Struthio camelus: one gene and its partners. The protein of the gene in region 3 purifies or fractionates together with the protein of the main gene of each other region. This does not show direct contact. Links are inferred from orthologs where the notes say so. Each region holds a gene or a part of one and is shown on either strand. Other genes may lie near its edges. The genes, in order: TIMELESS, RPA1 and TIPIN.

Region 1 (7,474 bases), on a different chromosome or scaffold from region 3:
AGCATGCGGAGGAAGAGATGGGCTGTCTCCACCAGGTCCCGCAAGAAGCTGCGCGGCTGCTTCGTCTCATCGAACTTGCGGAAGAGGGCAAGGAAGAGCTCCCGGTACTCCATCAGGTAGAAGATGTTATCTGAAGGAGAAGGGATTGGCCAAGAACTAGGAAAACAGGATGGAGCATGGAGCCTATGGCAGGGGGGACGGACAGACTCACTCTTGATGATCTGGCTGCTATCCCGCACGGCCTGCTCAGGCGAACGGTCCATCTCCTGCACCGTCCGCAGCAGCTCCTGGTAGGCCTTCAGGGCCAGGTGCATCCTGGGGACACAGTGTCAGGCCAGGGCACAGCGCTGCCCCCCAGCATCACACCCACTGCCCTCGCAGACCAACAGCTCCACAGCCAGGGACAGGACCAGGCGCCCTAGCAGCACACGCCCACCTGCGGGCCCAGGTCGCAGCCTCCTTCTTGTCCATCAGTGCCATCTCGTAGTAGGAGGTGAGGTTCTGCTCAATGAAGTGGAAGGCGCGGATTCCCACCGTCTCCGACACCAGCTCTGGCCGGAACCGCAGGCTCCGATTGAAGGCCATAAAGAAGGCTGTAGCCCATAGGTAGTAGGTCTCATCGTGCTGCTGAGCCTTCTCCCGAATCAGCTGGTCCTGGAGGAGGCAGAGACAGGGTCAGCGCCAGGACCACTGCGCTGCCTCAGGCCGTTACGCTGTGCACTCCAGGGCTGCGCGTCCCTCCCCGAGCCCCGGCCCCCTCACCTTGACCAGGTACATGAGGTGGTTGTAGCAGCCCTCCAGAAAGTCCTGGCAAAACTCGCGCAGGAAGAGCCGGACGTTGCGGGCAGAGCGCCGGGGCGGCTCGGCCTCGCGGGCCGCCAGCCGGCGCTTGGGCACCCTCCGCACCTCCTTGCCCAGGTCGTGGCTGTAGCTCTTCAGCTGTGGGGGCAAACACCAATGCCGACTCATGTCCCGGTGCCCCAGCCTCCCCACTGCTGTCCTGGCCCCATTACTCACATTGTGCAGGCCCTTGTGAAAAACAACGTCCCGGTCCCCAATTGCCTTCAGGCCCTGGATGATGTAGGAGCCACCAAAGCGGGAGTGCCTGGGATGGGGACGCAGGGTGAGCGGAGCCAGCCCGCGGCAGCGGGGCCCCACACCCCTGCTGGCCCCCGATGGATCACCTGGATGGGCGCTGCAGCGCTCGGCTCCTCCTCTCCGCCAGCTCCCGCTGCCGCAGGGTCTCCAGCTCCTCCGTGTCCTCGCCGCGCTCAGCGGCTGAGCGGCCCTGCCCCACCGCGGCCAGCTGCTCGGGGTTCTGTGGGGGGGGGGGGGGGAGCCAAGCTGTCAGCTGCGCCGTGCCGGGGGCTCCGGAGGGAGCAGGGAGGCAGCGAGTCCCCCCTGTGTCCTGTCACCTCCCACCCAGGCTCACTTGGTCGCGGAACATGAGGGAGATGATCTCGAGGACGTGGAGGGCCCACTGCTGCTCAGTCTGCGAGCTGGCCAGGAACTTGAGCAGGTCGTCCATGCCACTGATGTGCAGGGCCCAGAGCACCCGGTCATGGGTGCTGGCGTCACCATCCACGCCCTGGCAGGAGGGGGCAGACGCGGGGCTCAGCACGCAGAACACCAGGGTCCCCAGGAAAGTCACGGGGCCATCACAGCCCCAGGTGGGGAAGGGACAAGGCAGGAGCCCTGCAGGGGGCTGGGAGCTGCCCCCAGACCAGTTTTCCAGACTGCAGCGGGGGCGAGGCACACAGGAAAAGCCTCCATCCTGGTACCTGCTCCTCCGTGGGGTCCGGGGGCACATGCAGCACATTGCGCACCAGCAGCAAGATCCTCTCGATGAGCAGCGTGTCTTCCTCCTGCCGCTGCTCCCAGTCCTGGGGGCGACAGGGCGTGAGGGGCTCCCCCGCTCCTCCCCAGTACCCAGGCCCTGCTCCGCAGGGATGAGGCACCCAAACTCGGGGAGCTGCTAGGAGAAATGGGACTCACCAGTTGCAGCATGTCATAGAGCTTCTCACTGAGCACCCCGAAAACTTTCTCACTAGCAAAAGCCTAGAGAAAACCTAACGTTAGGGCCTGGGGCAGCGACCCTCTGCCCCGCAGAGCTGGGCAGGAGCCCGTGTTCCCATGGCGGGGGCTCACCTCTTTGTAGGCCTGCAGGTAGGACACGACCTGCAGAAAGTGGTGGCGGGAGGTGGCATCTTGGGGCACTTTGCCGAAGCAGAGCAGAGCCGGCTGCGTCAGGTTCACCATGAGCCTGGGAGGGGAGCAGGGCGCGGTGGGAGCTCTGCTCCGCCGGGAGCCCCTCTCCGCCGGGCTGCCGTGCCGGGGGAGCGGCGCCGGGCGCCCTCCCGTCCCTGCACCCCCCGGGCGGTACCTGACCACGGCGTCGAAGAGCACCTTGTCCTGCGGGTACTGCACCAGGATGGGCAGCAGGTCGTTCTGCAGGATCTGGGCCGCCCCCAGCTGCTGCCGGATGTCCCGGGTCTCGTCCTCATGGCGCAAGTACCGGATGAGGTCCTTCACACTCTCTGCGGAGAGGGGCAGCGCGGGGGCCGTGAGACCCCCTCAGCGGCGCCCCGCCAGGCCCCCGCTTGCCCCGGCCCACGTACCCAGGCAGTCGGGCTCCTTGTGGTAGACGTCCCCTTCGAGGTAGCCCAGGGCGCTGCAGGTGGCCAGCAGCTCGCAGTTCATCATGTACAAGTCCATAAATCCGGGCAGGCAGCAGAGGGGACCGGGGGCCGCGGAGGGGCCGGAGCGCCTTTGGGGCAGACATGGGGGCTCACGGGGGGCAGGGGCGGCAGCGCCCTCCCACCCCCCGGTACCGGGGCACCGGCCGGTCCCGGATCCCAGGTCCCCAGGTGTCACCACGTCCCCCTTCCCCCAGTACCGGGATGCCACTGGGTCCCCCCTCCACTGGTACCAGGGCACCACTGGGTCTCTCTCCCTGCCGGTACCGGCCAGGGCAGCACCGGTCCTCCCTGGCCCCCGGTACCGGGACATCCCCCGGTCACCCTCACCCCACCTCCCCTGTCCCCAGGGCACCAGCCGGTCCCGATCCCCCACCCCGGAGACCGGGGCACCGCTGGGTCTCCTGCCCGGCGACAGCAGCGCGGCGGGACCGGGACCGGGACCGGGACCGGGACCGGGACCGGGACCGGGACCGGGACCGGGACCGGGACCGCCGCACTCACCGCCGCCCGTCGCCGCCGCCCGCCCTAAAAAGGCGGCGGGGCGGGGGCAGGCGGCCGTTACGCAACCGCCCCACTTCCCGCAACCTACTTTCACGGGGCCGCGGCGGGGAGGGACCCAGGCGTCCTGCCCCGCCCCCACCCCGCGCCGCGCCGCGCCGCCCGCGCGCCCCGCGCCCGCCGCCCCGATGGCGCCCGAGCCCGCCCGCGGGCTTAAAGGGGAAACGCCTCCCTCAGCGGCCGCTGGTGGGGCCGCTCGCCCCCTGCCTACCTAGCAGCCCTGCGGAACCCAAGAGGCCCGGCCCCCTCCCGCAGCCCTCCCCCGTGGGGCGCCGCCCGCAGCGGCCGGCCCGGCTGCTCCCAACAGGGCGGTGCGGCCGCCCCTGGCCGGGGCCGCTCTGCCGGAAGGGCTCCGCGCCGCGGCGTTGCCCTTTTAACGGAGGAGCCGGCGCCGGCGGTGTCTCCGGCCCCCCGCGGCGGGAAGGGGCGGGGCTTCCCCGGCGGCGCGCGACTGGCCCGCCCCACCCCGGCCCCGCCCCCCGGCGACTCCCGTCACCCCCCGCGCGGTTGCCGGGGCGACGCGGGCCCGGTGCGGCCCGGTGCGGGGCGCGGGCCACGGTCGAGAGCGGTTACCAAAATAAAAGAGCAGGTTTAATTCACTGAACACAGGAGCGCCGGGCGGGGCGGCGCGAAGGACGGGCCGGGCCGGCACGGGCACCGGCACCGGCTGCGCGTGCGGCCTCCCGCGATGGGCGCCCGGCAGCGGGGCCCAGGCCGCGGTGACCCCCCCCACCCCCCGCGATCCCCGCCGCACGGAGCCGGCCCGGCCCGTTCCTCAGCGCGAACCGCCAGGCCACGCCGGCCCCGGGCACCGGGACCTCCCCCCTCCGGTACCGGGGACCCCCCCCCCCCCCGCCGGCAGGGCCCGGCCGGTGTCGGCACCGCACACACACGCACGCACACGCAGGGCCCGGGCGGCACGGGGTGGGGGGAGGCGCTGCCGGGGGGCCGCGCGCAGGCAGGGGTCGGCCGGAGGCGGGGGGGGTCCTTTCCGCCCCCATCCCCCAAATACAACCAAGCGGAGGCCCCGGGCGGCCCCCATCACCGCAAAGTAAAGGAAAGTCCACGGAGAAAGGAGAACGGGAGAACTAAAAGCGGCGGCGGTGGCCGCCCTGGCGCACAGGCCGCCCCCGGGTCGCGGCCTCCCCGGGCGGGCGGCGGGGGCCAGGGGGCGGCGCGGGCGCCCCCCGCTCCTACAAGCACTGCGTCTTCAGCTCGAGGGGCTCCGCCGGCGCTTCGCACGGCGCCTCGGCCTCGACCTCGGCCTCGGCCTCGGCCGCCGGCTCGCCCTTGAGGATGGCCAGGCGCTCGGCCAGGCCGCGGGGCCGCGGGGCCAGCACGAAGTCGTAGAGCAGGCCGGCCAGCACGCCGCCCAGGAGCGGGCCCACCCAGTACACCTGCGGGGAGAGGGGGGGGTCTGCCACAGCCACGGGGCGCTCGCGTCCCACCCTCCCTCTGGGGGGTCCGGTGCAGCCGTGGGGCACCCGCGTCCCACCCAGCCCCTCCAAGAGGTTGGGGGGGGGAGCTCAGGGGGCTCTTTGCACCCCGTTGGCACAGCCCCGAGCACGGGGCTGCTCCGGGACGGGGCTGCCCGCACTGCTGGCGCTGGGGCAGATGCAGCAGCTGGTTCCCCTTGGATGGAGGGGCAGCAGGGCCGGGAGCGGCTGGGGCTGGACCAGGATGCAGCTGGGGCTGGACCGGGATGTGGCTGGACCGGGATGCAGCTGGGGCTGGACTGGGATGGGGCTGGACCGGGATGCAGCTGGGGCTGGACCGGGATGTGGCTGGACCGGGATGCAGCTGGGGCTGGACTGGGATGCGGCTGGGGCTGGATCGGGATGCGGCTGGGGCTGGACCGGGATGTGGCTGGACTGGGATGCAGCTGGAGCTGGACTGGGATGTGGCTGGACTGGGATGTGGATGGACTGGGATGCAGCTGGAGTGGGATACGGCTGGAGTGGGATGTGGCTGGGGCTGGACCAGGATGTGGCTGGACCGGGATGCGGCTGGGGCTGGAGTGGGATGTGGCTGGGGCTGGGGCTGGACCAGGATGTGGCTGGACCGGGATGTGGCTGGACCGGGATGCGGCTGGACTGGGATGCAGCTGGACTGGGATGCGGCTGGGGCTGGACTGGGATGTGTCTGGGGCTGGGGCTGGACCAGGATGTGGCTGGACCGGGATGCGGCTGGACTGGGATGCGGCTGGACTGGGATGCGGCTGGACTGGGATGCGGCTGGGGCTGGACATGGAAGCGGCTGGACCGGGTGGGACGTGGCTGGGGCTGGGGCTGGACTGGGACGCGGCTGGGGCAGGACTAGGGCAGGGACGTGGGGTGCCCCAGGCCCCCACCCCGGCCCCACTTACCCAGTGGTTGGTGAAGTTGCGGGTGATGACAGCGGGGGCGAAGGAGCGCGCGGGGTTCATGCTGGCTCCCGTGTAGTACATCTGCAGGAGGCACGTGGGGTGGGGGGGCTGCCGCTGCCCTCCCCGCCCGGCCGGGGGGGCGCAAACGAGGCCAGCAGGCATGCCAATGGCCTGCCACGGCGGGGGGTCCCCAAACGGCTCGCTGATGAGGGCCCCCAAATGGTCTGCCACAGGGGTTCCCAAACAGCCTGCTGATGAGGGTCCCCAAACGGCCTGCCACGGGGGGGGGTGGGTCCCCAAACGTCCTGCTGATGGTGGTCCCCAAACAGCCTGCCACGGGGGGGGGGAGGGGCGCCCAAATGGCCGGCTGAGGGGGGGGGGGTCCCCAAATGGTCTGCCACGGGGGTCCCCAAACAGCCTGCCGACGAGGGTCCCCAAACAGCCCACCAACAAGGGGGGGGGCCCCCAAACAGCCTGCCACGGGGGGGGGTCCCCAAACAGCCCGCCGCAGGGGTCCCCCGCTCTTACCCCGCAGAGGTGTCCCAGGGTGAGGGAGAAGCCGACGGCCAGCGCCGCGGAGCCCAGGCGGCCGTCGCGGCGGTCGTCGTAGCTGGCGAAGACGCAGAGCACGAACTGCATGGTGAGGATGAGCTCCACCGCCGTGCCCTGGGCCAGGCCCACGCTGGGGTGCAGCTGCGGGGGCCGAGGGGCGTCAGCCCCCGCGGGGAGCCCCGGCGTCCGGGCGGGGGGGGGGCGAGACCTCCCCCCGTCCCGCCGGCAGCGAGCGCCCCAAAGAGCCAGACCGCCGTCCGCCCCGGCACCCCCAACCCACAGCACCCCCAGCCATCATCCCCATTTACCCCCAACCCCTCCTGGTCCCCCAACAACCCCCCCCATCACCCCCAGCCCCAAGGCACCTCCAGCCCCTCCTCATCCCCCAATAAACCCCCACATCACCCTCAGCCCCCTGGCACCCCAAACCCCTCCAGACCCCCAACTACCCCCCAAATCACCCCCAGCCCCACATCACCCTCAACCCCTCCAGATCCCCACCAAACCCCCACATCACCCTCAGCCCCCCGGTACCCCAAACCCCTCCAGACCCCTCACCACCCCCCCCATCACCCCCAGCCCCACATCACCCCCAGCCCCTCCCGACCCCCACCCCCCCAGTAACCCCCTTCCCCCAAGCCACCCCCACCCCCCCGCGCCGCCCCGTCCCGCCCGGGCGCCGCTCACCGCACTGAGGCCCAGGGTGCCGCGCGCGGCGGCCGGCGTCAGCCCGTAGAGCAGCCCGGCCCCGGCCAGGCCGCCCAGCAGCTGCGCCAGCAGGTAGCCCAGGCCGCGGGGCAGCGAGAGCTGCGCGCCCAGCAGGAAGGCCACGGTGACGGCCGGGTTGAGGTGGCCGCCGCTCACGTGGCCCAGGGCCTGCACCAGCGTGGCCTGGGCCAGCCCGAAGGCCAGGGCGGCCGCCAGGGCGCCGGGGGGGCCCGGGGCCCAGCGCAGCGAGGCCCCCAGCCCCAGCAGCACGTAGAGGAGGCTGCCGAGGAACTCGGCCGCCACGGCCCTCCAAAAGGAGGCCGAGCGCACTTCCCGCATGGCCTGGCCCCCTGCGCCCCTGCCCCTGCCCCTGCCCCGGCCCTGGCCCGCCTCGCCGCCCCCTCTGCGGGGGAGCCCACCCCCGCGGCCGCCCTTATAACCCCCCCCCCACCCCAGCTCGGCCCCGGGGGTGGGATCCCGCCGCCGCCACCCCCCCACCGCCCGTTAACCGCTTCGCTGCCCAGGCCGCACCGGCGAGGCTGTGTGGGGATCCCCCCGGGGCTGCACCCCGAGCACTGCATGCACCCTCCCA
Region 2 (7,582 bases), on a different chromosome or scaffold from region 3:
TAGCTGCCCACCTTAAAGCAGAAAACTAAGTCTTACCACCCTTGTTGTCGCTTAGCAGTTTTAATGCTTTCTTGATTCGTTGCTGAAGGTCCCATAGCCGCTGTGACAGGCTCTCTCTGCTGACTGAGAGTGCACAAGCTCCATTTGAACAACAAAGTATGTCTTCTCCCTGTGGAAGTCATCCACGCCATCATTCCTGCTCAAGTTCAACTCAAAGCTTATTTTCCATCTCCACGTCTGTATCGTGTCACAGAGCTGCTACATAGTTCCTCAGCTACATTTGTTAAATAAAGGGAGTAGCTCATAAAGTGCTATTAGATTGTTCAGATTTTAGGAGAAACGGGAACAGCTATGAAAACACGTGCTAGTCTGAGCCCACTTAAGATTAAGCTGAAAAAGGGTCATGAGGTACACAACAAACTGTTCATATAAAACACACACTTTTGTTCTCTTTCTTCAAAAAAATGACTTTCCTCATTTAACTCATGGCTAGATGCTGGTTTTGTTTACATCCTGTGAACTGCAGATAATGCAGCTCCCACTACGTATGGCCTCCTGTAGGTACATCCTGTTTTCTAGACTCTGGGTCTCCGTTTCTGTTTCTTAAACACCCCCACTACCCCAATCCATGGCCCTGATACTCAGGGTTTCTTTCAGCAAGTTCAAAGGAATTTTAACTCCTTGTTAAAGGCAGTATTTTCCCTGTAACAGTGGAAGATTGACATACAAGAACATTCCAAGGAAGCTGCTAGAGAGCAATGAGACACTGCCTTGCTCCTGCAGGGTCTTTTGCCTTCAGAGCAGAGGTCACAGACTCAGATCTTTAACTGTGACTTTCCCAGAGACCCAAACGTTACTCACCCTGATATGGTTATATAGTTATAATTATGGAATAATTACCTGCATTGAAGCCCGGCAGCTAGGGCAGCAGAATGAGTTTCTCATGGACACCACACTCTTGACATCAGACTCTATCTCTTCAAGGCACGCCTGACAGCGACACTCGAAGAAATACTGCCTAAGAAGCTGTTGTCTCTCAGCAACCCTCATTCTACATCGATGAGGCCCTGCAAAGGGAGGACAAGGACAGAAAGCGCTAAACAGGTACAGTCCCTAACAAAAGCCTGAAATCTATCCTCGTTTTGACTCAGACTAAATATACCATCTTTTGAAGAGGATGAAACTGGAGACTGTGAAAGCAGAACAGTGGGCATCTGGAGATAAGGACTTGTTCTGATACCTTTGATCAAGACTTACACGTATGCATAAGCTCTAGCAACATTACACTTCAAATTACTATCCTATTAGCAATCAGTCTGCATGCCAAGTAGAAGTGAAAGGATGCCTGGATCTTGAGATAAATACAGAGTTAAAACTCACCATAGCAATGAAAAATCTCTTGGCCTCTTGGGATTGCCTGCGATGCCCTGACAGTGGCAGCTGTCCCACTAAATGATATGCTGATATTGGGACTGCATGAATGGTTCAGAAGGCTGAGGACAGGAAAGAAGGCAGTCGCCAGGCGCACAGGCTTCTTATTTACAACAGCACCATCTCCGGACCCTAAAAACAGAGGGAAAAACAAATATGTTGGGAAGGAAGTCTTAGTGACCCACCAAACTTAATGCAATGGGCACTGGATCCAATCACAGACATCAGTAGGAAAGTTCCTGGCATATTGCTGTAATGAAAAGTAGCTGAATACCATCTAAACGTACACCAAAGATAAGGACAGGCAGGCAGGAGCAAGCCATCAAATTTTACAAAAAACAAGTAGTCATTCCCATCTGCAATGGGAGCTTTTTACAACTGCTAGTTCAGTTTCTCCACTTCACACAAACTAGATGAGCAAGGTTAAGAGGAAAGGGCTTAAAGTGTTTATCTTACCCAACTCTTGCATTACAGTGATCGCTTGCGCGTTACATTGCAGCTGCAACACATGCCTCAGCATTGCTTCTGCCATAATCTTCAACTCTGGAGACAGTTCATCAGACCCATTTTCACATTCTTTTGGCTTGGACCACTCCTCAGACGATTCCCGATTCAAGACAGCAGCCTCTAGACCAGCTTCTTGTAGTTTTTTGCATATAGCTACTATGCTCAGCACGCAAAGGAACTTATGTTCAGGGCTATGCTTCTCAGTATGTGGCAAGAGGTTGAACACAGCTTGGTAAGAACTCTGGTACTGACCGTTGTCATTACAGCCAGGAATCAGAGGCTCTGCCTTCCCAGGGATACCACCTCTGGTATTTGGTACCTCATTGATATGTTTACATCTTGCCTCAGGGCTATGAAGGTCCTTGTCATCATCGTGGGACTGCTCCACCAGCCTACTAACCTCTGCAAATCCTGCCAGCAGAACAGTCCTTAAGGCAACGTGGCAGAAGACCCCTAATGTGAGAAGCAGCGCTCCCAAGGAGCATTCTGTCCTGTGGTACTGTTCCCAGGCCAGATCTGCACAGTTTTGGCTGCAGTACTTTGCATAACTGCATCCACTGCAGGGCACAGAGGCTAAGAGCTGCTTCAGACAACGGTGACAATAAAGATCTGCATTAGTGACCCGAGTGTCCCACACTGTTTCACTACTGTCAGGCAACAGAAGACTCTCCCCTGGGCAGAGAACACTCACAAAGGCCTTCTCTTTCAGCAGATTCTGTCCTGGCAAAATGTCCTGAGAGGCCACCAAATGACGTCCTCTCTCTATATCAAAATTCAAGCTCAAAGATGAAGATGCACCTGAAATGCTGTCATTCTCTTCCCAGATCTCTGACTCTCTTTGAATGGCACCGTGTGCTTCTGGCGCAGGCTCTGGACAGCTCTCTTTCTCATGTACTTTAATCTTCAGTTGACTTATCTTTTTTAGCAGTGCCTGGTGTGTAGCACTAGTCATAGTCTGATCCACAGCAACTTTATTCTCCGCTGCATTGAGGGCCTCTGCTGCATCCTGTAACCTCCCCAAACACAGCAGACATTCAGCTTTCCGCACCAAGACCTTGGGCAGCAGCCTATCTGGATAGCCATGACCTTGAGCCCTCGCAATATCTTCCAAACAAGCCTAGAAACAAAGATGAGGCCTTTTAAACGTACCTGAAAAGCAGTTGAGACTTGTGCTCTTTATCACATCAAAGATTCAACACATTTTACTCAAGATAATACCGATCAGCAGATTCCCTCTCCATAGCCAATCTGTTGGCCAAATAAAGATTCACAATGCAGACCGAAGAGAGAGAAAGCAGGAATTCTTCAGAAACAGTTCCATAACGACGGAAGTTTTAGGCACGCTTCAAAAACACATCTGATGTATACTCTGTTGTGCTAATATCCAAACAGCCTTTATTGGGGGGTTCCTAGAAGCACTCACCTCAAGCCCGACGTGCAAACGTGACATAGTAACGCTCCTAGGCGCCGCTTGGGATCTCCTTTGGCCTATGTCCCCCCTCCAGCTAGGCAGAAGGCCCCAGGTCACACGCTGGGAGCACAGACTTGCTCCAGGCACCCAGGAGCACCTCTGCTCGCCCGCCGCCGCTTACCTCAAAGCGTCCGAGGTGGAAGAGGGCCGCGGAGCGGTTGGCGAAGCACAGGGATACCTCGGGGCTGCCGGGACGCTCGTGCGACGCTGCCTGCGGAGACCAGGCAGACGCTGCCTCACCGGGGCCGGCAGGGCGCCCGCACCGGGGACCCCCTCGCCGGAGGCCCCGTGCCAGGGGCTGACTTGAGGCCTCCCTTACCGGGACCCCCCTCAACCAGGGCCGGCTGTGATCCCCCCTTACCGGGGGGGGGGGGGGAGATGGGATGGACAACCCTAGTCCCCCCCTCACCAGGATCCCCTCAACCAGGGGGCCCCCCACAACGAAGCCCCTCCTTGGGGGCCTCACAGAGCAAAGACCCGCCCCCCCCCCGCACTGAGGGCCCCCTCAAAGTCCCCCTCCCCCACCGAGGCCCCCCTCAGCCGGGACGACCCGGCCCCCCCCCCCCCCCACCGGCGAGGTCCGGCCCCGGAGCCTCCCGCCGGCCGCCTACCTGCGAGTAGAGGCGGGCGGCGGCGACGTACTGGCGGCGCCCGAAGCGCCGGTTGCCCTCCTCCCGGTAGCAGCGCGCGGCCGCCGGCTCCTTGCCCGCGCGCGCCCGCCGGCACAGCCGCCGCAGGGCCGCCGCCGCCTCCTCCTCCTCCTCCTCCTCCGCCTCGGGCCTGCGGGACACGGCGGTCAGCGCCTCGCCTCGCCTCGCCTCGCCTCGCCGCCCCCCGCCGCCCCCGCCGCTCACCCGAGCAGGCCGCAGCCCAGCCGCACCGCGTCGCGCAGCGGCGCCGCCGCCAGCCGCTCCCGCAGCGCCGGCTGCAGCGCGGCCCAGCGCCGGGCGGCGAACGCCCGCCACTCCTCAGCCGGCAGCGCCATCAGCTCGCTCCGATGGCGGCGCCCAGCGGCACCGGAGCGGCCGCACGCTGCGAGCGCTTCCGCCGTACGGCGCCGCCCAGCCAATAGGGGCGCTCCGGCTGCCGCTGCGCGGAGGAGGGGAGGAGCCCGCGCGCCGCGGTGACGGAAGGAGAGCGCGCCGGAAGGAGCGGGGCCAGGCTCGGGGCGGCGGGAGGATTTGGTGGCGGCGGCGGAGCGCGGCGCAAGGCGCAGCACCATGAGCGCGCGACTGAGCGAGGGCGCCATCGCGGTGAGGCGTCGCTGCGCGGCCAGCTCGGGGTGGGGGGGACATTGGGCTAGGTCTGGTCGGAGGGGAGCCAGGCCTAGAGCCGGACTCGGCCCTGAGGCGGCGGCGGTGGGGGGCGGAGGCCGGGCCTGGTGCCCCGCGCCGGGCCGGTCCTGAGGGGAGGGCCCTGGCCGGGCTCAGCGGTGCTGGCCTTGCGCGTTACTTTTGCTGTTTCCCAGCGGTTCCCCCTCTGCTGTGGGTCTCCTGAGCGAAGAGGTGGCATCTCTCTGAGGGTCTCTTTTTTTCCTCCTCTCTAGGCCATAATGCAGGGGGAGAACATCTCCAAGCCCGTGCTGCAAGTCATAGTGAGTACTCTTCCTTACTTCGTCCTGTCAGTAGTGACTGCCTGCGCTTCCTTGTAGGGTTGTGAGCAGGGCCAGACTGCAGCTGAAGTTGCTCAGCATAGGAGCCTTAACGTGATTGAGTAAAGTAGGTTTTGTGTGATTTGAGCTGTGCTGTTGGGAATCAGTGCTCAAGAAGAAAGCTAAATAGACTGAGTCATTCACTAAAGATGTGACTTTGCTTCTGAAGCGTTTCTGAATGAACCAGTGAGGACTAACAGTCTGGTGTTTCCCTTCAGAACACGCGGGCTATTGCGACAGGAAATGGGCCACCGCGTTACCGAGTGCTGATGAGTGATGGTGTTAACACGCTCTCCTGTAAGTATGACAAGCCGTAGTGAGATTTTTACAAGTGTGGAGATGCTAATGTTGCCATAGTTTCTGGTCTAACATCTAGGTTTGTAGTGATGAAATGAGTATTGAAGGAGCAAGTGACACGTAGGGACCGTTTGTATTCTGAATTGTGCCACTGCATTTCAATACTCAGACAAAATCCTTTTTTTCTGGAATTTTTTTGTGAACTGTAGGCAATTAACTCACTGCAGGGTATCATGAGGACAAATCTATAGCGGATGTTTTCATAACAGTGTCTTTGAAGTAGTTTAGCTTAATCATTTTCTTATTTCTTTAATGCATTCTAACTATCATTGCCTGATCGAATCTCCTAAGTTGAGGGATCAAATCCTTATTTTACGTTCAGACTGCTGGTGAATTGTTGGCTGTTACGCTGTTTCCTGTGCTGTAATTAACAGGGCAAGCTGTAGATCTAAATTAACGCCAGTCGACTGACTGGAAAAGTTGTGGCCAACCATGGTAGCCTCTCTTAAGGCCAGCATATGGTAGTTGTTTCAATATTTTTCTTCTACTTTTTGCAGCGTTCATGTTAGCAACACAGCTGAATTCTCTTGTGGAAGAGGAGCGCTTAGCAGCTCACTGTATCTGCCAGATTAACAGATTCATTGTCAACAGCCTGAAAGATGGAAGGTATTCATGTTGTTTTAGATACAGTAATGCTAGTGGGTGCTCTATCCTGTGTGACTAAGCAGAGGCCAAGTGCTTTTAGTTGGGATTATCTGTAAATAATTGGTCTTGAGTGTACAGGAAGGAAAATACAGAAGACAAGCAATAGCAGAAGTAAAAATTACTGAATGTAATGGCAGTGGGTGCGGATGTATCTAATACAGTAGTTTAAGTAATTGAAGGCAACCAGTTGCAATACACAGAATTGTACTGAGGTTATTTTAATAAACCTAAAATAAAATTTACTTAAAATCACCTCTTGTAGAAAAGAAATGATGAAGTTTTCCTGTTACTTAAAGTCGTTGATCTTTCTTTTATGAAGCTTTGAGAGAAGAGAAAGGTAGGATGCTGTAAACTAACAAGTGATTTAGGTAAAGTGACAATCTAAAAACTGTGCAAGTGTGTTAGAGAATGGGAACTGATGTGCTGCATCTTTTTTACTCAATGTTTCTGTAGAGGCAATATAACGTTCCCTTGAGTCAGGGGATGTATCCTCTCTCGTAAGATCTGACTCTGTTCTTTCAAGCCATTTCTGTATGCCCATTCAGCCTGTCATCTTCTGTCTCTGATGAAACGTAATATTGTTTTAAGCCTACCTGTACCTTGTGAGTGGGTTAAGCTGACAGTGGAGAGCTCTTCTTTCCAGATCTCTTGTCCAAAAATCTGCCCCTACTGGTTGTTTCTCTTATCTGCATGCAAAGGATGTTCAAAGTCTGTTGGACTTACAGAGGGAGTGAAAATCTTTATCGCTGTCTGCTCTGTGTTTGTAGGAGAGTAGTTATTCTGATGGATTTAGATGTTCTGAAAACTGCTGATATGGTTGGTGGGAATATTGGCAATCCGGTGCCATACAATGAAGGTAAGTAACTACTGTAGAAAAATACCTTGTCTGAAGAGACTGTTAGGATGGTCTTTCAGCTGCCTGTTTCGTTGTATTTAACAACGTGCAGGCAGATGCGTTCCGCTTCCTTATGCCTGCAACAGTGATGTCCAGATCTTGAACGTCCTTTTTATCTGTGTAACGCAAAATAAACTTTGTTTGTATTCTTGTAAATTCTTCACCGTGGCTGAAGTTTCAGTATGTGGTATTGGGAAGTATCTATAGTTTGTGATAACATTGAGAGCTTTTTATCATACATTAGTGGTCTGCATCTAGACTTCCAGTAAGTGTGCAGAAGCTGTTCTGTATCTTTTCATAATGAGTAACCCAAGAGACTAAGATTTTTGGTCTGGAAAGAAAACAACAGGAGGAGGATGTAATAACGATCTATGAAACTGTAAGATAGCATTGGAGGGGATGAGTAAAGAATGATGACTCTCTCCCTCTCTTCTGTGTTCATTTGATGCTCTTTAGTTCTTACATTATCAGACTGTGGTTTTAAAACAAAGGCTGTACCACACCCCCAAACACTGCATAGTTAAATTATGGAACTCGATGCTACATGATGTGGGTGCCAAAAATTGGCACAGATTCAAAAAGCAATTAGACGTGAAGGAAAAATCCATTAAAGGCTGTTAAACAT
Region 3 (7,772 bases):
ACACATGCAAGGATGCCTGCAGTTATTTACAGTAGCTTGTGAAGTCTAAGTATCAAGTCTCTCTGTGATAAAAAAAAGGGAAAAAAATGTTTTTACTACAGAAGAAATTGAGTTGCAGCTGAGGTTGTTTTCCCCTTTACCCAACTGCGTGTGGAGAAATGCATGGACTCCTTTGTCTGACACACTGAACTCCTTTGCAGAGAATATGCGAGTCTCAGAGAATGTACAATTATGACAAATGCCTTGTATAATTGTAGTTGCACTATATTGCAGTTGTTCACATGAGTTATGCAACTCTAGTTATTCTAATAGGTTGTAAAGTATGTCCTCTTTCTCGGAGCAGATTATTGCAAGGAAGATATTATTTTCTTTTAAAGGTCCGGGTTGAACAAACAAGAATTTTAGTTATGAGCTGTAATTTTTCCCCATAAGCTTTGAATCATTTTTCTCCTTCTAACATTGTTTTTTTTTTTTCCTATCAGGTTAGACTATATACTAAAAAGCCTACATAAACAGGTGAATGTCTGGACATGTTTACCGACAACAGAGGTTTCAGTATGCAGACTTTTTTGAAATACAGCAAGAAATGTGTGTGTATCACATACATTATTTCAGCTGACAGTAAAAGTGCAGAGTAAATTCCATCACATAACTTATTTTTTAAGTAATTTGTATGAAGAACTACTATGAATTCTGTTTCAATTTTCTGTGATTTGCAAATGTAAAATAATGATTATACTTTTGGTCAAAGCAGTCATTAATGCTTTTATGGAAATTGAAATTTATTATGGGAAAAATGCCCTATATATTGTGCAAAATGCTCTATTATTCCTAGCATCTCACCCATTTCTAAAGTAAAAAAGACTAAATTATTTTATTTTCACAGCTCTGCCCTTCATACACACACTCCCCCGTCTATTAAATGCCAGGTAACGTTAAGAGATAGCTCCCTCCTGCGGTGTACTTTATACTTGCACTGCAAACAACACTGCGGTCTGAATTCACTTACCTGTTTTAGAGTCCATTTAACCTACTGCAAGACAAAGGTATTTTGATTGTCTGAATACAGAAATATAATCATATGTGTACAGACTGATGCCACCTCAAGAACCATTTCAATATAATTGCTGCTGCCATCACCTAGTTCCTCAGGCGCTATCGTACTCTTGGAACTTTTAGGGGGACCAAGCCTTAAAAAAAGGGCTGGATGGCCTCTAGGCTTTGTTCAATGAGACCTAAGACGCTTTGGGGATTTTTTTTGTTTGTTAGTAAGAACGGACGATCTTACTGATCAGTATAGGCATACTATTATTTCCTAAATGATCTATTTTATTTTGCGTGATTATACAGTATATTTGAAATGTTTCAAGAATGTTGTAGGTTGGTTGGAACTTCTCTAAAACAAACAGATTTAACTTCAGTATATTTGCAACTGAAAATAAAGCACATTTCCTCACCTAAAACAAAGCAATTGTAAAGCCGGTGGGATGTGGGTTTTTCTTACAGACAGGTGTCTCTGAATATGGCTCACGCAGGAGAAGATGAACAAAAAAATATAAGCGAGGCAGTGTAATCCGTAAGAAAGACTTCCAAGCAGGGAGACTTTCTGATTTATTGATTCAACTACTTCTTGAAAAAAAACAGAACTGTAATATATGTCCCTGTAAATAGAACTGCATCAAAGAAGTTTGTCTCCATTACCACTTTTTTCTCTCATGAGACTAACCTAAAAAAACTGAATTTTGGCTAGTTTCTTGTATGAGAAAGAAAAGAATACTAAAGATTTGGAGACTCAATAATCCATATAATAAGGGGAGATAACTTGCAGGAGGCTGATACTGAATCTGTGAAGCAGATATATAGTATATAAAAATACAGAACCTATAAAGTAGCTAAAATATCTGTTAAGTTCCCCTCACCTACCAGTCAGCAGTCAGGAATAAAACACTTATTTCAGTATGAATTATTCCTTTCCTCACGAACTTGATTACTGCATACCTTAATTGCAGTCCTAAATTAGCCCAGTTTTTAAAACCTGATTGCCACATAAAGCTGTATATTTTACTGCCGAGACATACACACACAAAATTTTATTTGCAAGATTTATTACTTCTTAATCTATTTAGTGCTTAACAGAGCAATTCAGGGAAACAATTAGTCCCATAAGCAATGGAATTTAAGAAGCCTAACACAATCTTGATTAAAACTGGCCACCAGAATGAAGTTATTAGAAGGGGGCTGACAGAGAGATGGACAGACAATCAAGCAGAAACCAGTCTTGTACGTTGTTTTCCTCAAGAAATAGGGATTGAAAAACCCACTGTGGATCAGAACAAGAACTTAAATATATCCGTATACTAAAAGGTTAAAAATATATTAATTTTTAAGATGACTGTGTAATACAAAATTTGGATTAGATTGACAAAGTATAAATCACAAATATCCCACTGATACAGCTACACTAGTATCAATATAGCCTACTTTGCATAGAGTTTATGGATGGGGAATGATATTATTATATACACAGGATTACCAGTATAATACTAAGAGGGTTTTGCCAAACAGGTTGCACTCCTGTAGCGGTAAACCCCTCCAAATGCAAAAGTAGCCAGTTGTCCATTTTACAGATTTTCTCTGCCCTATGTTAAGTATAGGATAAAATAGGAAATGAGACAAAGTATTCATTTTCTGCATTTTTTCTCATAAAATAACATTATTAAATACAGAAAGAAATAAATAATACATCTGTTTCCTCTAAGCTAGAAACCAGAAGTATTTTCTAGAATACAGCCAAGTTATGGCTTTTTTTCCTGACTTATTATTTTATCAGCATGTGGCTGGTTATTCATTTCCTGAGAAAAAACAATAATCAATGCCTGCTAGCATATGTTTTTCATTTAATTAGGAACATAGGACTGGAAAGAACCACCCAGGTCATCAAGTCCAGTCTTTAATTAAACACTCTTCAAAAATATTGATTAATCAAAGTTGCATAAATATGGTAGGTTTTATAAGACAGTACTCCTCCACAGAGATTGTAAATAATCTTCTGCTTTAATCCTTGTATAGTACTTTTTCTTTCTGTTCGTAAAAACAGCAGTGAACGGAAACATTGCCATAGAAATTTTGTTTATTGAAAAAACATGCCTTTCAAGCACTTTTTCCAGTTCCATTATCTGTCTGTCCTGGCTAGGACAAAACACCTACCACAGATCAGACATCTGCTTCTGCGGATTGGATGACCTGTGTGTCTGGAGACTGGCCAGCTGGCGACTGTGAAACAGAACAGAAAAAGGCCACCATCTCTCTGCTGAGTACCCTACCACCATATTTCTCTTCTACCTCCCAGTCAATTTTCAGAAAGTATGCAGGAGCTTAAGGGAAATTAGAGAACCTGGTATCTCTGGTAAATTCAGTTGACATAACTACTTAAAATCCACACAGAAAAAAAAGCAGTAACAATTAAGGAAAACAATTCTAAATTGGTTAGATATTCAGGCAACACCCAAAACCTATGATTCCCTTGTTTACAACGAGTATCTTTTAATATAAAGAGTGACTATTATTTTCAGTGTAAAGAGCTTCCCATGGTATTCAATATTTGATTTTTAGTCATTTTATACGACAGAAACAAGTCTTTAGTGTTTTGTTTTGAGCTGGAAATCGGCAACATGATTTATAACAATTAATGTATCTTTCTGTTCGTTTTTCATACTTTCTGAGCTTCAGTAAATTGAAAAAACTGGCCGTATCTAAAAAGTTGTTTGCTAACAAATTCATTAATATGCTTGTTCTTCTATGTGTATTTCTAACTATAAAAGATGTTCCTCTATTTGGGAGTACAGATTTTAAATACTGTTAAAATCATTTTGACTGAAGAATAATACCCTTTATTTTTTTAACTGAGAAGTATCTGCAAGTGATTTTCTTTGTCATATCAGAAGGAATAAATTAAGTTTTCAGACATATTATATGTATCAAACTCCTAGAGAAAAAAGGGAAAACCATTTTCCTTCTGTGTTAATAACGGACACCACTCATTTTGCTTAAACGGTCTGCCGTCTAAGTGAGATGCATTTACACCGACCGACCTGTAAAATATGCAAACAGTATTTTTCAGATACAACAGATCAGTACATCACCTGCTGAAAACTGGATTTGTGACTGACAAAATCGCCAACAGCACCGGAGGCCGCAGCATGGACCCTCCCTCCTGCGGTTTCTGCAGACGGCAAAGTCCCTAAATGGCATTTTCTGTGTGTAGCTGCCAAATCTCATTGGGCTTGGTGTATTTCTTAACGCCTGGACAACTGCAAGCTCTTTATTTTTAATTACCAGAAGGCTCTAATCTACATTTGGACCGAGAAAAACCTGCCCTGGAAGTCTTTCCCCACAGAGGTAGGAAAGTCAGCAGAGCTCCTCGTGCGGTATCTTAAATCCCATTTCAGGGGCTGATTCATCATTCTTTCCCGAGTTGGCCTAGCAACCTTAGATGCTTCAAACGCGACCGGCACCCCCCGGCATTTTAATTTGGCCAAGCGCCACCACACCGCACCCGGGGAGAAGCGAGGGAACGGGCCGCGGCAGCCCTGCCCCACCCCCACCCCCACCCCCACCCCCACCCCCTTCCTCAGGTTTTGGCGCCAAAAGCGCTGTGCGGGGCCGCGCAGGCGCGTTGGCACCGAGCGGCCGCTCGCCTCAGCCGAGAGCTCGCGAGATGGGCGGTTCTCGCGGTGCCTCCCCCGGCGAGGCCCCGCCCCTCCCCGCTCCCCGCCAGTGCTCTGCCGCCGGAGCCAGGAGTTGCTCGTGAGGGGCGCGGGGCGCGGCGCTCGGCCCTCGAGGCCCCTCAGGAGCGCCTTCGCCGCCCTGGCTCCGGCTCCGTCAAGGTTTCACAGCTCAGAGGTAGGGAGCTCGCTTTCTCCATCGGAGGCCAGTGCCGGCGGAGCTGCTTGGGCTCCCCTGTGCCTAAAACGGCAACTTTCTCTCAAAAAAGAGAGCTGTTCGCGAAGCCACGTGTGTGCGTGGTGAGCCCCCGTGGGCTGCTGTGCGCGAGTCTCTGGAATTAGCTGTGCTAAAGCAAGTGGCAAAGGGGGATCCCCCTCCGGACTGCATTTCTGAGTGGGTAAGCTGTAAATCGGAGGAATTATCACCCCTCCCCCCAGGAATCTTTGATTTTTCAAGGACTTGAAGGAAAACAGCTGTCTTAATAAGCGCTTTAGTTACTTTCTTTCCTCTTTTTTTTTTTTAACTGTATTCCTGTGACCCGTTCCTGCCCCTCCCAAATAACTCTGATGAGTTGAGACATGACAAACTCTTATCAAAACCTTATCTGACATCATGAGACTGGATTGTGTCATCCTTTTACATGGTATCTGCTACATAACTTTTTGGATGGTGATGTTTGTTTGTTGTTTTTTTTTAACTGGCAAGTATTTTTCAGGAACCCATGGATGTGTTGTGTATAATTGATACTTAGCTGCTGCTTCTCACTGCTGCTTTTTAAATGTTTTTGCTATTTCCTGCAGGAGAAAACAGTTAATTTGTGGCAATGATAGATCCCTTAGAGAACAACTTGTTTGACCTTCCTGATTATGAGAATACAGAAGATGAAACATTTCCACCTCTTCCACCTCCTACCTCTCCAGGAAAAGATGATGCTGAATGGGCTCTAGCTAATGGAGGTGAACACCTGTGACCCTTAAAGAACCAATTTTGCAATACAGGCTATGAAAACAATTTTACTCTTGGTTGTATTATTCACTACCTTGAATTTCTTATATGTTATGACTATATTATTTATATAAAAATAGCTCTCTCTATATACAGCCTTACATAAAAATAGCCTCATAAGTAAGAAAGCACTTAATAAATTTAAATTATACATGATTCTACACATCCAAGCTTGTGGGAAAAGTTTGTTTTTGTAGAGTCCATCAAAACATCTGCAGTACAAATGGATCTTTTAAAAATTCAAGCTTTTCTGCCAAAATATCAGTAAAGATAATTATACTACAGTGATCTATAGTTACCCTCTATGACTTACCTTGAGTGGAGAAAAGGTAAGAGTGCTAAATATAGTAGTTTGGGAGATGTTACTTGTTTCGGTAAAGCATGCGATTTAGGAAAAGTCCAAGGCACTTCAGGACAAGTGAAACTTAAAACTAAAGCTGTTCATGTTTGAGATGATCTTACAGCCATCCAGTATACTGAACTGGCTAACAGAAGACTCAAAAGATTTCTTTTCAGTGTTATTTATAGGCAAATATGAGTAGACCTAATGTTAAGTATGCGTTTTCCTTGATTCCCTGCTATGTCTGTTTACTAGAAAGTATGGTTTGGAATAGATTGAATTCCTCGATATATGAAAAGGAGAGTTCAAACTTCTGACTTCCTGATGTTCAAAGGTACAAATGTAAAAGAAGAAATCAGTATGTTAACTAATTGCTAGTTGTTAGCTGAGGTGGGCAGTTGTGTCTTACCTGTTAAAGTCAAAAGTATACATACAGCCTTAATGAAAACACATAAAATTTTGTTCTTAAGACATGCAAGCTCATTGTTTTCATATGTTACCCCTTTCTCTATTTTTGAAGGTGATAGTGAAGTTTCAGGCCTCTAAGATTTATCATGGAAATTTTGAGAAACATCTCTTATCACTTGAGGTTTTTAACTCTTAGAACTGGCAGCAGCTACTCTCAATACATTTCTGATCAGAAATATACAAGTTGTAAAGCGAGGGTCTTTGAAAAGAAAGTGTCCTTCTTTGCTAGAAAAGTTGATTCTTTGACTATTTGTGCCCAGTGCCTTTGAGATAGGGTAGAAACTTAAAAATGTATGTTGTGTAACGCTAGTTGATGTAATTTGCATTACATACTGACAGTATATTTCTTTTGTTAGAAACAGATGGTAACCAGCAGTCACAAACGAAGGATTCTTCTGCGACTACACGGAAAGCAGTTAAAAGACCAATACCTAAACTAGATGCCCAAAGGTGATTTTTTTGTTGTTTTTTTGTTTTTTACAGATTATTTCTTTCTGTGATGTATTTCGTACATGGCTGTCGGGGAATGATTAAAGTGCTTATCTACCCCAAGCTAAAGATCAAGATTTTTGGAGATGAAAGTTCCTGTTGTTGCATGCTGCATTTCAACCTTTTTATTCCTTGCTTGCCTATATAATACTATTATTAGTCAAACTTTCTTGATGGTTACTTGGGGCTTAGCACATGCCTAATAACTTGTTTGTAGATATTTATTTTTCATACATAGGACTCTCATCCTTCAGCTGTATCATCTTTATTTTGGCTCAGACCTATGACTGTGGTTTTCTTATTATTTAATTGAAGTGCACTTCAGAATAAAGCCTCAGTGTAAGAATCTAAAGTACTATATAAAGTACATTTATATGTGACTTCTGTACAAACTGGGTAAACTCTGTGTGAAAAAGTTAAGGATTTCAGTATTTCCCTTGCTCTTTCCACTAAAAAAACACTGGGGGTATGGTCTATATAAAAAATGGAAAGAATCTGAGCTTCTGTGGACTGGCCTTTCTGTTTTGTTCTGTGTAATTAAAATCAAAAAGTTGCTTGGACAGGGACTATTTGTACGGTGACTTTCCAAAAAGGTCTCCCTCTTTATTGCAGTCTTTATCCTATTGTGTGGGTCTCTGTGCGTGTGTGTTGGTTTTTCTGTTCTGTGTTTGTGTTTTAGTGACTTCTAAACCCCTATGTCTTTCAAATAGAGCTTCACAGAAAGCTTTAGACTAGAGGAATGATT

The links.
Region 1: the proteins of TIPIN (region 3) and TIMELESS purify together in Homo sapiens (affinity purification with western blotting; 6 studies listed by BioGRID and IntAct, counting the BioPlex papers as one, with this or other methods). This does not show direct contact. The link is inferred for Struthio camelus from reciprocal best matches to the Homo sapiens genes TIPIN and TIMELESS.
Region 2: the proteins of TIPIN (region 3) and RPA1 purify together in Homo sapiens (affinity purification with western blotting; 4 studies listed by BioGRID and IntAct, with this or other methods). This does not show direct contact. The link is inferred for Struthio camelus from reciprocal best matches to the Homo sapiens genes TIPIN and RPA1.

The regions. Positions count from the first base shown.
Region 1 is NC_090969.1:434,393-441,866, reverse strand, and holds the start of TIMELESS (protein timeless homolog), read right to left. Parts: upstream 3,010-7,474; coding exon 2,897-3,009; intron 2,768-2,896; coding exon 2,619-2,767; intron 2,538-2,618; coding exon 2,384-2,537; intron 2,264-2,383; coding exon 2,149-2,263; intron 2,059-2,148; coding exon 1,996-2,058; intron 1,884-1,995; coding exon 1,782-1,883; intron 1,589-1,781; coding exon 1,433-1,588; intron 1,319-1,432; coding exon 1,185-1,318; intron 1,106-1,184; coding exon 1,018-1,105; intron 940-1,017; coding exon 763-939; intron 655-762; coding exon 437-654; intron 316-436; coding exon 212-315; intron 131-211; coding exon 1-130. Other genes in the region: MIP (lens fiber major intrinsic protein), read right to left, coding at 4,451-4,654, 5,623-5,703, 6,151-6,315, 6,862-6,981. UniProt on the Homo sapiens protein: Plays an important role in the control of DNA replication, maintenance of replication fork stability, maintenance of genome stability throughout normal DNA replication, DNA repair and in the regulation of the circadian clock.
Region 2 is NC_090957.1:16,142,463-16,150,044, forward strand, and holds the start of RPA1 (replication protein A 70 kDa DNA-binding subunit), read left to right. Parts: upstream 1-4,522; 5' UTR 4,523-4,629; coding exon 4,630-4,662; intron 4,663-4,955; coding exon 4,956-5,003; intron 5,004-5,278; coding exon 5,279-5,357; intron 5,358-5,914; coding exon 5,915-6,023; intron 6,024-6,829; coding exon 6,830-6,918; intron 6,919-7,582. Other genes in the region: SMYD4 (SET and MYND domain-containing protein 4), read right to left, coding at 37-169, 901-1,067, 1,381-1,563, 1,888-3,055, 3,531-3,620, 4,021-4,222, 4,264-4,394. UniProt on the Homo sapiens protein: As part of the heterotrimeric replication protein A complex (RPA/RP-A), binds and stabilizes single-stranded DNA intermediates that form during DNA replication or upon DNA stress.
Region 3 is NC_090953.1:3,201,568-3,209,339, forward strand, and holds the start of TIPIN (TIMELESS-interacting protein), read left to right. Parts: upstream 1-4,693; 5' UTR 4,694-4,902; exon of another isoform or gene 4,903-5,122; intron 5,123-5,525; 5' UTR 5,526-5,548; coding exon 5,549-5,681; intron 5,682-6,268; exon of another isoform or gene 6,269-6,361; coding exon of another isoform or gene 6,362-6,404; intron 6,405-6,894; coding exon 6,895-6,988; intron 6,989-7,772.